Linked DNA regions of Neurospora crassa OR74A. The protein of the gene in region 1 interacts with the protein of each later gene in a pairwise test. Links are inferred from orthologs where the notes say so. Each region holds a gene or a part of one and is shown on either strand. Other genes may lie near its edges.

Region 1 (5,419 bases):
CTCTAAGTGGTGCGTACAGTCAGAATCAAGTGCAGACTTGAAGTTCTGTTCTTTCTATTTCATACAATTCCAAATCCGCAAAAAGCAACACTCCAAGTTTGACATCTGTGTTATCATCGACAACTCCCCGATTTTCGGGGAAAAAAAAAAAGAAAAAAAAAAAAAAAAGCCAAGTTGCCCGGGTAAGCTTGTGGAACGAACAACAATGCTCCAGCTGCAACCTACGAAAACTGTACCTCGGATACCGCGCACCCAACAACGTTTTCATCATGAACCACTGCGCCATAAGACCGCAGGGCCCGCTGGGGTAGAGGGGCTATGTAACGGACCTTATATGCTGCCCTGCTGCCCGGCCCAGGCCCAGCTCGGGCCCGGGTGTCATGTCATCCGATGTCTGAGGACGGGAAGGGCGCGCCGACAGGGTGGCGACCTCGGCGGCAGCAGGAGCTCAAGAACCTTGAACCCAAGTAAACGACGTCTTGAAAGCTTTTAACAGTGCTGCTCTCTTTATTGACCATTCAATCCCCCTTTGATATACAAGCATAACAAGATCTGTCTTGTCATAACAACCGTCTTCTACAACGATATGAACAGGTAAAAAGGTATCGCAATTAAAACTTCCACCAACTATACTGCTGCTGGACACGACGTCTATTTCTTCTTGGAAATCCTCTTCATCGCCCTCAACTCCTTCTTCATACGAGGATCCACCATCTTGTACCTGCCCTTGACTATAAAATTGAAAAAACCGAGTTAGCATCATTCCAACATAAAGAACACACCAGATCTTAAGGTAGTGATAGTACGAACCTCCTTTAGGTCTGCCCTGGAGACCCTTGTTGGAACCAGCAGCCTTGACAACCTTGATAGGCGCCCTCCTCGTCTTCTTAGCAACCGACGCCATGAGCTTCGAAATGCTAGCAGCCTTTTCCTTTTCTGACATGCCATCGTCACCGGCAAGCATATCGGCCTTCTTCTTGAGCTTCTCCAGCCTCTGGGCCTGCTTGAACTTCTTCCTGGCCTTGGCCTCGGCCACCTTCTTGATAGGACGGGCGTTGTAGGCCCGGAGCTTCTCCTTAATGGCCTGCGCTGCGGCCTTGGTGATGGGCTTGTGCGGCTTGTCGTGCTTGGACTCGTCGTCAAGGAACCAGTCGGGAAGACCGTCGCGGTCCTTGAAGGCGTGCTTGGTGTAACCGTCGTCGATGACGTCGTAACTTGTCTTCTCGCCGGTCGCGAGCTGGTGGGCGAGGGTCATGGCCTCGGCGGTGATGATGTCGATGTCTGTAGTTGTCATAGTCAGCCATTGCCCTTAACAGGTCATACTGAAGAGGGACTGAGTGAAACTTACCAGGCCTGCCGTTCTTCTTCTTCTTCTCAACGTTCTCCCAGTCGTCATCCTCGTTGTTCTTGACAACCTCGAAATCGTCGTCGTCATCGCTCTCCTCGGCCGCCTTCTTGCTCTTGGCCTTGGTTTCCTTGGCTTCCTTCTTCTCCTTCTTGGTAACCTTGAGGTCCTCCACAGCCTCAACAAGCTCAGCCTCCTGAGCCTCCTCCTCCTCAGATTCTGGCTCCTCCAAAAGTCCTGGTATCTCCGCAAAGATACCTTGACTGAAGAAGTTCTTGGCCCGCTTGGACAGACCATCCTTCTCTTCTGGCTGGCCGTCTAGATCTGTTATAAGTTTCTTGCCAGATTCACCATCCTCTGAGTCGGAATCATCATCACTGCTGTCCACTTCTAGTTCCTCATCGTCATCGTCGTCGCTACCCTTCTCCTCATCGCCAGATACGCCTTCCCATTCATCGTCGCCGTTCTCTTTCCTGGCCTTCTTGGCACGGTACTTGGCATCGGCCGCCGCCTTCCGCTCCCGGTACTGATCGTACAGGTTGTCGAGCTCTTCCTCCAGACGATCGGCCTCCTCGTCGCTCTCGTCGGTTTCGCCGTCGGAGCCAAAGTCGTAATCCTTCGGTTTCTCGGTCTCTTTGATAACGGCCATCTTGCCCTTGGCGATCTTATTCAGGGCAGCGTTCTGGTCGATAGTCTTGAGACGGAACATGGCACCCTCACCACGGGGACCTTCCTGCTCCACACCAATATCCATGGGCGCAGTCATGTTCATCTGCATGCGGACAATCTCCTTTTGCTTCTTCTCATTCTCGCGCCTCCTCTCGCGCTTCTTCTTGGAGGTCTCCTTCTCCTTGATCCTTTGCAGCTCCTCCTGGATCCTAAGCTCCTCATCCATGTTCTCCACTACCGCAACCTCCTCGTCCACAGCTGCCTTCTGGGTCTTCTTGGAGGGGAAGCCGAAGATCTCCCGTACTTTTAGACGCCATTTTAAGAGAAGCTTGAACTCTTTCCTGCCGAGCACTTTGAGATCGGCGCAGCAGAGACGGATTTCTTCGGTCGTTTCGGGGAGCTTGTCGAGGGCAGCCAATGCTACATCGCCGTTCTTGGGTTGCTCAAAGCTGAGTTTGTTGTACTGGCCGAGAATGGCGATGGGATCGACAGTGTTGATGAACTCGCTGGCAGAGATCTCCTTGAACTGGGTGTAGTCTCCCTCCTCATAACCCTCTCTCTTTCTCTTCTTGACTTCGGGGTTGTACACCTTGGCTTCGTTGTTGGGGGCGGGGCCGGCCACATCCTCGAAAACGGAGCGGGGGTCGAGAAGCTTGGGGTCAATGCGCTTGGGGGCCTTGAAGCCGCGGCAGACGACGAAGATTTCGGCGGAGACGTTACGGGACGAAGGGGGCTTCGTAGCCTCGACCTTGGCGAAAAGCTGGTTGCAAACCCAGAGAAGGGAGTTGTAGTCCTTGGATCTGAACACCTTGGTGACGAACGTACCGCCCTCAATAAGGAACTCGGTGGCCAGCTTTAGCGAGTGCAGGGCAAGTTCGGCCTGGTTGTACGAATCCTGGACCCAAGCAGTACCGACGTTGGGCGCACCATCGTGAAGAACGACGTCGGCCTTCCATGTCTTGAGATGGGAGCGGATGGTTGCGCGACACTTTTCGGTGGTGATATCGCTCTGGAAGGTAATGACCTTGGGGATGGGCTTGATGGGAGCAAGATCGACACCGATGATGATGGAGTTTGTCGGCATAGTCTCGGCGCAGACTTGACACCACGACTAGGGACGGACACAGACATGGTTAGTTCACTCCATGATAAACTGGATGTTCACGACTATGACTTACACCGGGCGCAGCGCAAAGATCGAGAGCGACCTTGCTTTTCTCGAGGAATCCATACTTCTTGTTGAGCTGGATCAGCTTGAAGGCGGCACGGGCACGATAACCCTTCTCCTTGGCAAGCTTGTACCACTTGTCAAGACGGCCCTTGCCGTGTTTCTTTTGGATCGCCATGGTGCCGGTGCTCTAAGTCGGGGGGTGTTTCCGACTGGTGTTGTTGAGCAGGACGACCTGGTGACTTTTTTGGGTTGGTGAAAATGGCAGTCCGGGTGCCCTTTGACTGTTCTTCCCTCCAGCACTCGCAGCGCAGGGATTGCAGGGTCGTCGTTGCAGAATGATTTTTTTGGATGACAGCTGCAGGGCGATAAGCGATAAGAGACTGGACTCCGGCGGCTGGTGGGGCAACGAGCAAGACGGGCCCCATCAGGGTGGGCCAGACATCCCGCGGTTGAAGTGCAGTGCATTGACCAATCTTCATGTCTTCAGCAACCGCGATTTATGGGACGAAAAAGCCATTAAGCTTTCGCGATGCAGCGCGTCATTTGTTCCCGCGTCTTCGCGTTCCCCTGATGGAGCACTAAACCGCATTCCTTCTAGGCGCCTCCCCCCCGACCCCCGGCCGCTACGGACCGCACGCCCAGCCTCTGCCCACTGGAGGAGGTGTTCAATGGAGTCCATGGGTGGTCAGGCCAGGTCAGGTCAGGTTTCCATGGCTGTCGATTTGGTTGCCCGGCAAACCTAGGTACTCAAGTGGGAACTCAGCAAAAGCGTAGGTACTTCTAGGAACTGAACCACGCAAGGGAAATCCACAACAGAAACGAACAACCAAATCCAATTCCATCACATCTCCACCTACGCATTCAATTTCAAGTCCATACTACCAAGGACACACTTACACCAGAAACCGACATAGACATACCCCTTCCGGCCGCACCACTTCACTCAGAGGACCCATACTACTACGACCAAATCCGCCAACCAATAAACTCGGCGCCAATACCTTACGCCCCCCCCGGCCGCCTACCTTGTCTCTCAACGACGACCTCGACCTCCCGTCCTTCTTCAAGCTCAGCCTGCTTGCTGCACACAGCCTAGCCTGCAACTTCGACGTCAGCCCTTGTCCAATATCCAGTCGACACTTGCCAGCAATACCTCTGCGCCAGCTGTTGCTCAACTGATTCTGTACAAATATCCATCACCACAGCCTGTTCTCTGTCTCCGCGTACCCTTGCCATCGGCGGCCCCTCGCTGCCAGGTCGCGCGCATCCAGCGTCGCCGGCCCCGTGTACATCGTCTCTAGGTATCGTGTTGCATAAGCGGCCTGGACCCAGCTCTTCGCTCTGGTAGTCGAAGAGAATCCTTTCGCCATGGCCGATAACTCCAACAGCACTTCAACCCCTTTGGGAGTTAAGAGCTCGTCGTCGTTGAACACCAGCAACAACATTCCCCCCATTCCGTCCTCTCCTCCTCCGCGAAGCGCAGCCAAGGAACGTCGAAACCCGTCCATCACCCCCCGGAAATTCAGGCGCTTCTTTACTCCCCGAGTCATAGCGAATAACCACCCCAGCGCTTCCCAAAGAGCTCTTCGTGATCTAGCCGGTCCTCTCATAGAACGATCTCATACTCCATCCAGTCCTCTCAGGCCCATCTCGGAAGAGGAAATCCCAGATGTGTTACCGAGCCTTCAGGATGGCCAGAGAAGCTCCAAGCGTCGAAAGATCACTCATGCTTCAACACCCAAGAGGGCTGAGGCATCGCACGTATCCCACCTACCCTCTCCTGCAGCCACATCCCCAGCCTTACTTTCGACTCCCGAGTTGAAGCACGATCGTCTCGGCAGTCCGATCCATTCTATTCGGAAGCTACCATCCCAATTGGCCCTCGATGGAGATGAGGCTGAGTCGGAAGAAAGTGATGATGATGATGATGGGCAAGAGCTGCCAACCACACGACGTCGGCCAAACCGTGCGCCTATACAGTTGGATCGTCGTGGATTGGGAGCTCAACTGGTGCAGCGAGTGACGGGTGGTATGCCTGGTGCCGGAAACAGGTCTTTATCATGCCCAGTTTCTGGTATGTGGTGATATGTCGATGCATCTTCCTCAAGCCTATGCTGACTCGGTAAACAGACTGGCGGTCGGAAACGGCGGACTTTTATAGTCGCCGAGAAGACGCCCATTTTATGAACAGCCACGAAGGACATCCTCGCAGCATCCCATTCTGCACCACAAGC
Region 2 (4,256 bases), on another chromosome or scaffold:
CGTCACTGCTAACCCCGAAAAAAGTAAGTTCTTCCCTCAGACCAAGGCGAAGAAGGCGGCAGCCAGGAAGTCGGAGTCTTTCATCATGTCGGATGACTCTATCGAGGAAGCTTTTCGGAGCGTTCCGGATGCTGTATGGAGTTCGTCAAAGGCTCGTCGTCGGAGCGGAAAGGTTCAGTTTGTCGAGGAGTCACCGTCCTCTGAACCAGTGTCTCAGGAGAAGGAACAGGAAGATTTGGAAGAGCCATCTCTTCCTGCGATGCCAAGGAGTACCACCATTGATGCCAGCAGCGATGCCGAGGACGAAGTGGAAGTTCCTGGCTCATCATCGCAAGAGGCCATCACCAAGAAAAGTGTGAAATCCCAGACGCCGCTGGGCCCTCGGCTCCGGCAATTCTCGTATCAACCAGGTAAACCCGGTGCTCGCCTTGTCAATGGTCTGCCTACACCTTCCTCAACCCAAGAGAGATCTGCTGCGGTGCGTAGATCATCGTTGAATCCAAGCTCGCCCATGTTGACTCCGTTGCAACGCATGGGAGCCCGGGCATTGAAGCAAGTTACACCCCGCGCCACGCCTCCTAGCAGCCTCCGCGCACGTAAATCAAGCAAGCCGAGCGAGGCTCTCGGCTCCGTCCAGGTGGATCCCGCCGCCATTCCGTTGCCGTTGGCCGACTTTGCTGAAGTTAGAGCCCTGAACATGTCGCTTCAGGGGAGCGAGGATCAGATTATTCCTGAGAGTGATGGAGAAACCGAATTGGGCACGGCAGCCACTCGTCCGCGACTTAACTTGGCGCAGTACCTGTATTCGTGAGCCCCCAACTCGTGCTCTCTGGAGTGTATTAGGAGAAGCCAGATATGTGGTGTGCATAGCTCTCGGCGTATCGGTAAGGAAGAAACCCCGCCTGGAAAATGGGTGGGCTTGAATTGTACTATGGTCTGTTGTAAGGAAACGAGGAAAGATCATGGGTCAGGAGTATTATCAGGCAAAGAAGGCAATCATGGAAAGAGCAGGCTGAAGTAAATGAGGAGAACTTCTATTGCCTGTTATGCGATAACATTGCCCTGATGGGCCATTCATTGATGGCCTTTGTCCAGAAGGTAGCTATATCACTTTAGTAGGAAATAAACAAACAATGGTAACCATGATGAAGGAACACTGTTGCACCTGTCAAGACACTGTCAGGAGACATGTCACCATCAGATCCAAACATAAATCCTATAGGTATACTATACACGAGGTAGACGGGAGCGTGCTAGAATAGGCAAGTATCCCTCTAACCGCGATAAGATCGATGAGTAGGTGCCAGGGCAGTTCACCGCCTTTGGCAGAATGCCAGAACCCCAAGCGTGAAAGTGTGGGGCAAGGTGCTGGGGGGCTCCACACTGCTGGGAACAATCCACTAAAATTTCACTGTAATCCACTGGCGAACAAAAATTCATCGAGACGGGAAACAGTCGCTCGACCACAGCCGACCCGCCCTCCACTGTCTCAATTTTTCCATCTGGGTTTCGTTTCGATACCTCGACATACTACCTCGACCATTATTCCGCCCGCTCGACATCACTCACAACCCCATCACAGCGAAATCCCGGATTCGACTTTCTTTGTCGCCTCAATCACCTAGGTCTCTCTATTTTAGCGACTGGCAATCAACCAGGTCGACTCGTACAAGCGAAAACCAGCGTGTGCAAAGATGGCGGATACCGATTTGCAGGTAAGCAGACCGGCGCTGGAATGCACACCACCGATACGGTGATACCCATGGGCTGGTAGTTGTGGCCAAACTGGGATGGCTAGAGTTCGACGCTGACCATGCCGTCTTGCGATTGCGAACAGGAGCGCCTGCGTTCTCACGCTCAGGCCTTTGACGGTCTACTGTCGCTGATCCCAGCCAAGATGTACTACGGCGAGGACAATAGTGTACGTTACCCCCACCCGTTGACTTAGCTCTTCATCATAAACTCAACCATTGATGTTGGTGTCAAAATGCCTTCGATCGCGTCGCTGATCCCAAGTAACCCCGCCAACAGGATCAGTGGAAGAAGAAGAAGCAAACCAAGGAGCAGGCAAAAGCTGCTAAGCGGGGGAAGCTCGATCCCGACAGTGAACTCAACCGCAACGCCAAGGAGGTCATGGAGGAGCGCGCCCGCAACAAGCGCAAGCTCCAGGAAATGGAGGAGAGCAGCACTGAAGACAGCGACATCGACGTCGAAATCCCTGGTGTTGAGAAGGAGAAGCCTCTTGAAGGACTGAAGAAGAGGGTCGTCAAAGACGACGCCGAGACAGAAGAGTCTGCGCCTAAAAAGCAGAAGCTTTCCGAGGAGGAGGAGGAGGTGGTGGAGGAGGAGGCCGTCCCCGCTGAGAAGCCCTTGAGCAAGAAGGAGCAAGAAAAGGAGGCCAAGCGTCTCGCAAAGCTGGCCAAGCAGGAGAAGAAGAAGGCCAAGCTCGAGGCGAAACTAGGCAAGGGTGGAAAGACGGAAAAGAAGGACGACACCGCCGAAGAAGCCAAGCCTTCTACCGAAGCTAACGAGGACGACGAGAACGACGATATGGCTCCCATTGATGTGTCTGGTCTCGTAACAAAGGAGGATGAGGGCGAGTCCCAGGAATCCGCTCAATCTTCTGTTTTCGACAGTCGCGACAAGGCCGGTTCCGCCGAGCCTGCCAGCGCCAACACCTCGATCTCTTCCGCCGTTCCCCCATCGGATAAGCCCAAGTTCAAGCTTCCCGCCGATACCACGGTTCTCCGCGAGCGTCTCGCCGCCAAGATTGAGCAACTCCGTGCCGCTCGCAAGGTTGAGAAGGACGACGAGGGTAAGCCCATTCGCACTAGGCAGGAACTCATCGAGATGCGCCGCGAGAAGGAGGCCAAGCGCAAGGCCCACAAGCGCGAGCAGAGACAGAAGCAGAAGGAGGAGGAGGATCGGAAGCGGTCAGAGGCTATTGCCAGCTCGCGCAACTCTCCCCTAAGCATGCTCAGCCCCAAGGACGATGTTGAAACCAACTTTGCTTTCGGACGTCTCGCCTTCTCTGATGGTGTTCAGCTTTCTCGTGACGCCGCCTTTGTCAAGTCCGACGGAACCAAGAAGAAGGGCCCCACGGACGCCAAGTCCAAGCTTGCCAAGCTTGAGGCGCAGAAGAAGCGCCTCGAGGCCTTGCCTGAAGATAAGCGCAAGGAAGTCCTTGAGAAGGAGACGTGGCTCGCTGCTCGCAAGCGTGCCGAGGGCGAGAAGGTTCACGACGACGAGCACCTGCTCAAGAAGGCTGTCAAGCGCAAGGAGAAGGCAAAGAGCAAGAGCGCCAATGAGTGGAGAGAGCGCAAGGAGGGCGTCGCCAAGGCCCAGTACGATAGGTCAAAGAAGCGCGAGGAGAACATCAAGAAGAAGCAGGACGAGAAGAAGGCCCGCAAGATGGGCATCAAGGTCAAGAGCGGCAAGGGCGGTAAGGGTGGAGGAAAAGGTGCTTCCAAGGGTAAGAGCAGGCCTGGATTCGAGGGCGGATTCGGTGGTAAGAAGAAATAAGCGTCGGATAAGGTGTTCAGCAAGGGGTGTTTTGTCTTTTTGGAGAGAGATGTTGATACCACTGCTGCTGCATAGCGGCAGATGCTCGGGAGGCTGGCATATCCTTTTCCCATTCTTCTGCCTTGTCGCTACGTACATATTTCTTGCTGGAAGGGGGTAACAGGTGGTGTTTTTGGCGTTTGTTTTTTTTCCTCATGGTTTTTCGTTTCTTTTTTCTTTGCACGGTCGGAATGGAAAAAGAGATTATATCACACGTACATATCACAACTGGACCAGATCACGACAAGCGGTTAACATGGTACGAGGCTGGGCAAGCCTTGTCTTTTGTTCTTTTATACTTAGCTAGCTTTTAGTAGTGGTGGCGAAGGGAGGAGGTAGGGGCTGGAGGTCCCCCTTCTTCTTCAGCGAGGCAGCATCTTCAGGGAGTTAAAAAGTGATTATCAGCTCACCGAGTCTTTTCTCTTTTTTTGTCCGGTGACTTGAATTGGTGATGTGAGACGCATAGCTTCCCTTTCTTGCTTGTCTGATACCGAGGCGCTCTCCGGTGTAGGCGTTAAATTCCAGCTGTGAAATGAGGTGCTGTTAGTGCTGGGTGGTCGGACTCTACTTTATTCGCAATCAAAGCACTAACACGGCGCCTGGAAGCCGACATAATTCTAGGTGATGCTACACGATTTTATCATGATCGGAGCAACCCGTGTTCCGTTCCACAAGGGAAGCTTGGAAGGGGTTAA

Evidence for each region. The genes of interacting proteins can lie anywhere in the genome.
Region 2: the proteins of NCU03669 (region 1) and NCU06090 interact in binary tests that used the Saccharomyces cerevisiae proteins (3 or more experiments, as listed by UniProt). The link is inferred for Neurospora crassa OR74A from reciprocal best matches to the Saccharomyces cerevisiae genes SPB1 and RRP14.

The regions. Positions count from the first base shown.
Region 1 is NC_026505.1:2,020,769-2,026,187, reverse strand, and holds NCU03669 (AdoMet-dependent rRNA methyltransferase spb1), read right to left. Parts: upstream 3,504-5,419; 5' UTR 3,361-3,503; coding exon 3,193-3,360; intron 3,126-3,192; coding exon 1,349-3,125; intron 1,282-1,348; coding exon 811-1,281; intron 732-810; coding exon 652-731; 3' UTR 479-651; downstream 1-478. Other genes in the region: NCU03668 (WD domain-containing protein), read left to right, coding at 4,554-5,259, 5,316-5,419. UniProt on the Saccharomyces cerevisiae protein: Required for proper assembly of pre-ribosomal particles during the biogenesis of the 60S ribosomal subunit. Specifically methylates the guanosine in position 2922 of the 25S rRNA at the stage of 27S pre-rRNA maturation.
Region 2 is NC_026507.1:1,847,947-1,852,202, reverse strand, and holds NCU06090 (hypothetical protein), read left to right. Parts: upstream 1-1,456; 5' UTR 1,457-1,694; coding exon 1,695-1,715; intron 1,716-1,837; coding exon 1,838-1,921; intron 1,922-2,031; coding exon 2,032-3,522; 3' UTR 3,523-3,975; downstream 3,976-4,256. Other genes in the region: NCU06089 (exonuclease), read left to right, coding at 1-811. UniProt on the Saccharomyces cerevisiae protein: Involved in ribosome biogenesis and cell polarity. Required for the synthesis of both 40S and 60S ribosomal subunits and may also play some direct role in correct positioning of the mitotic spindle during mitosis.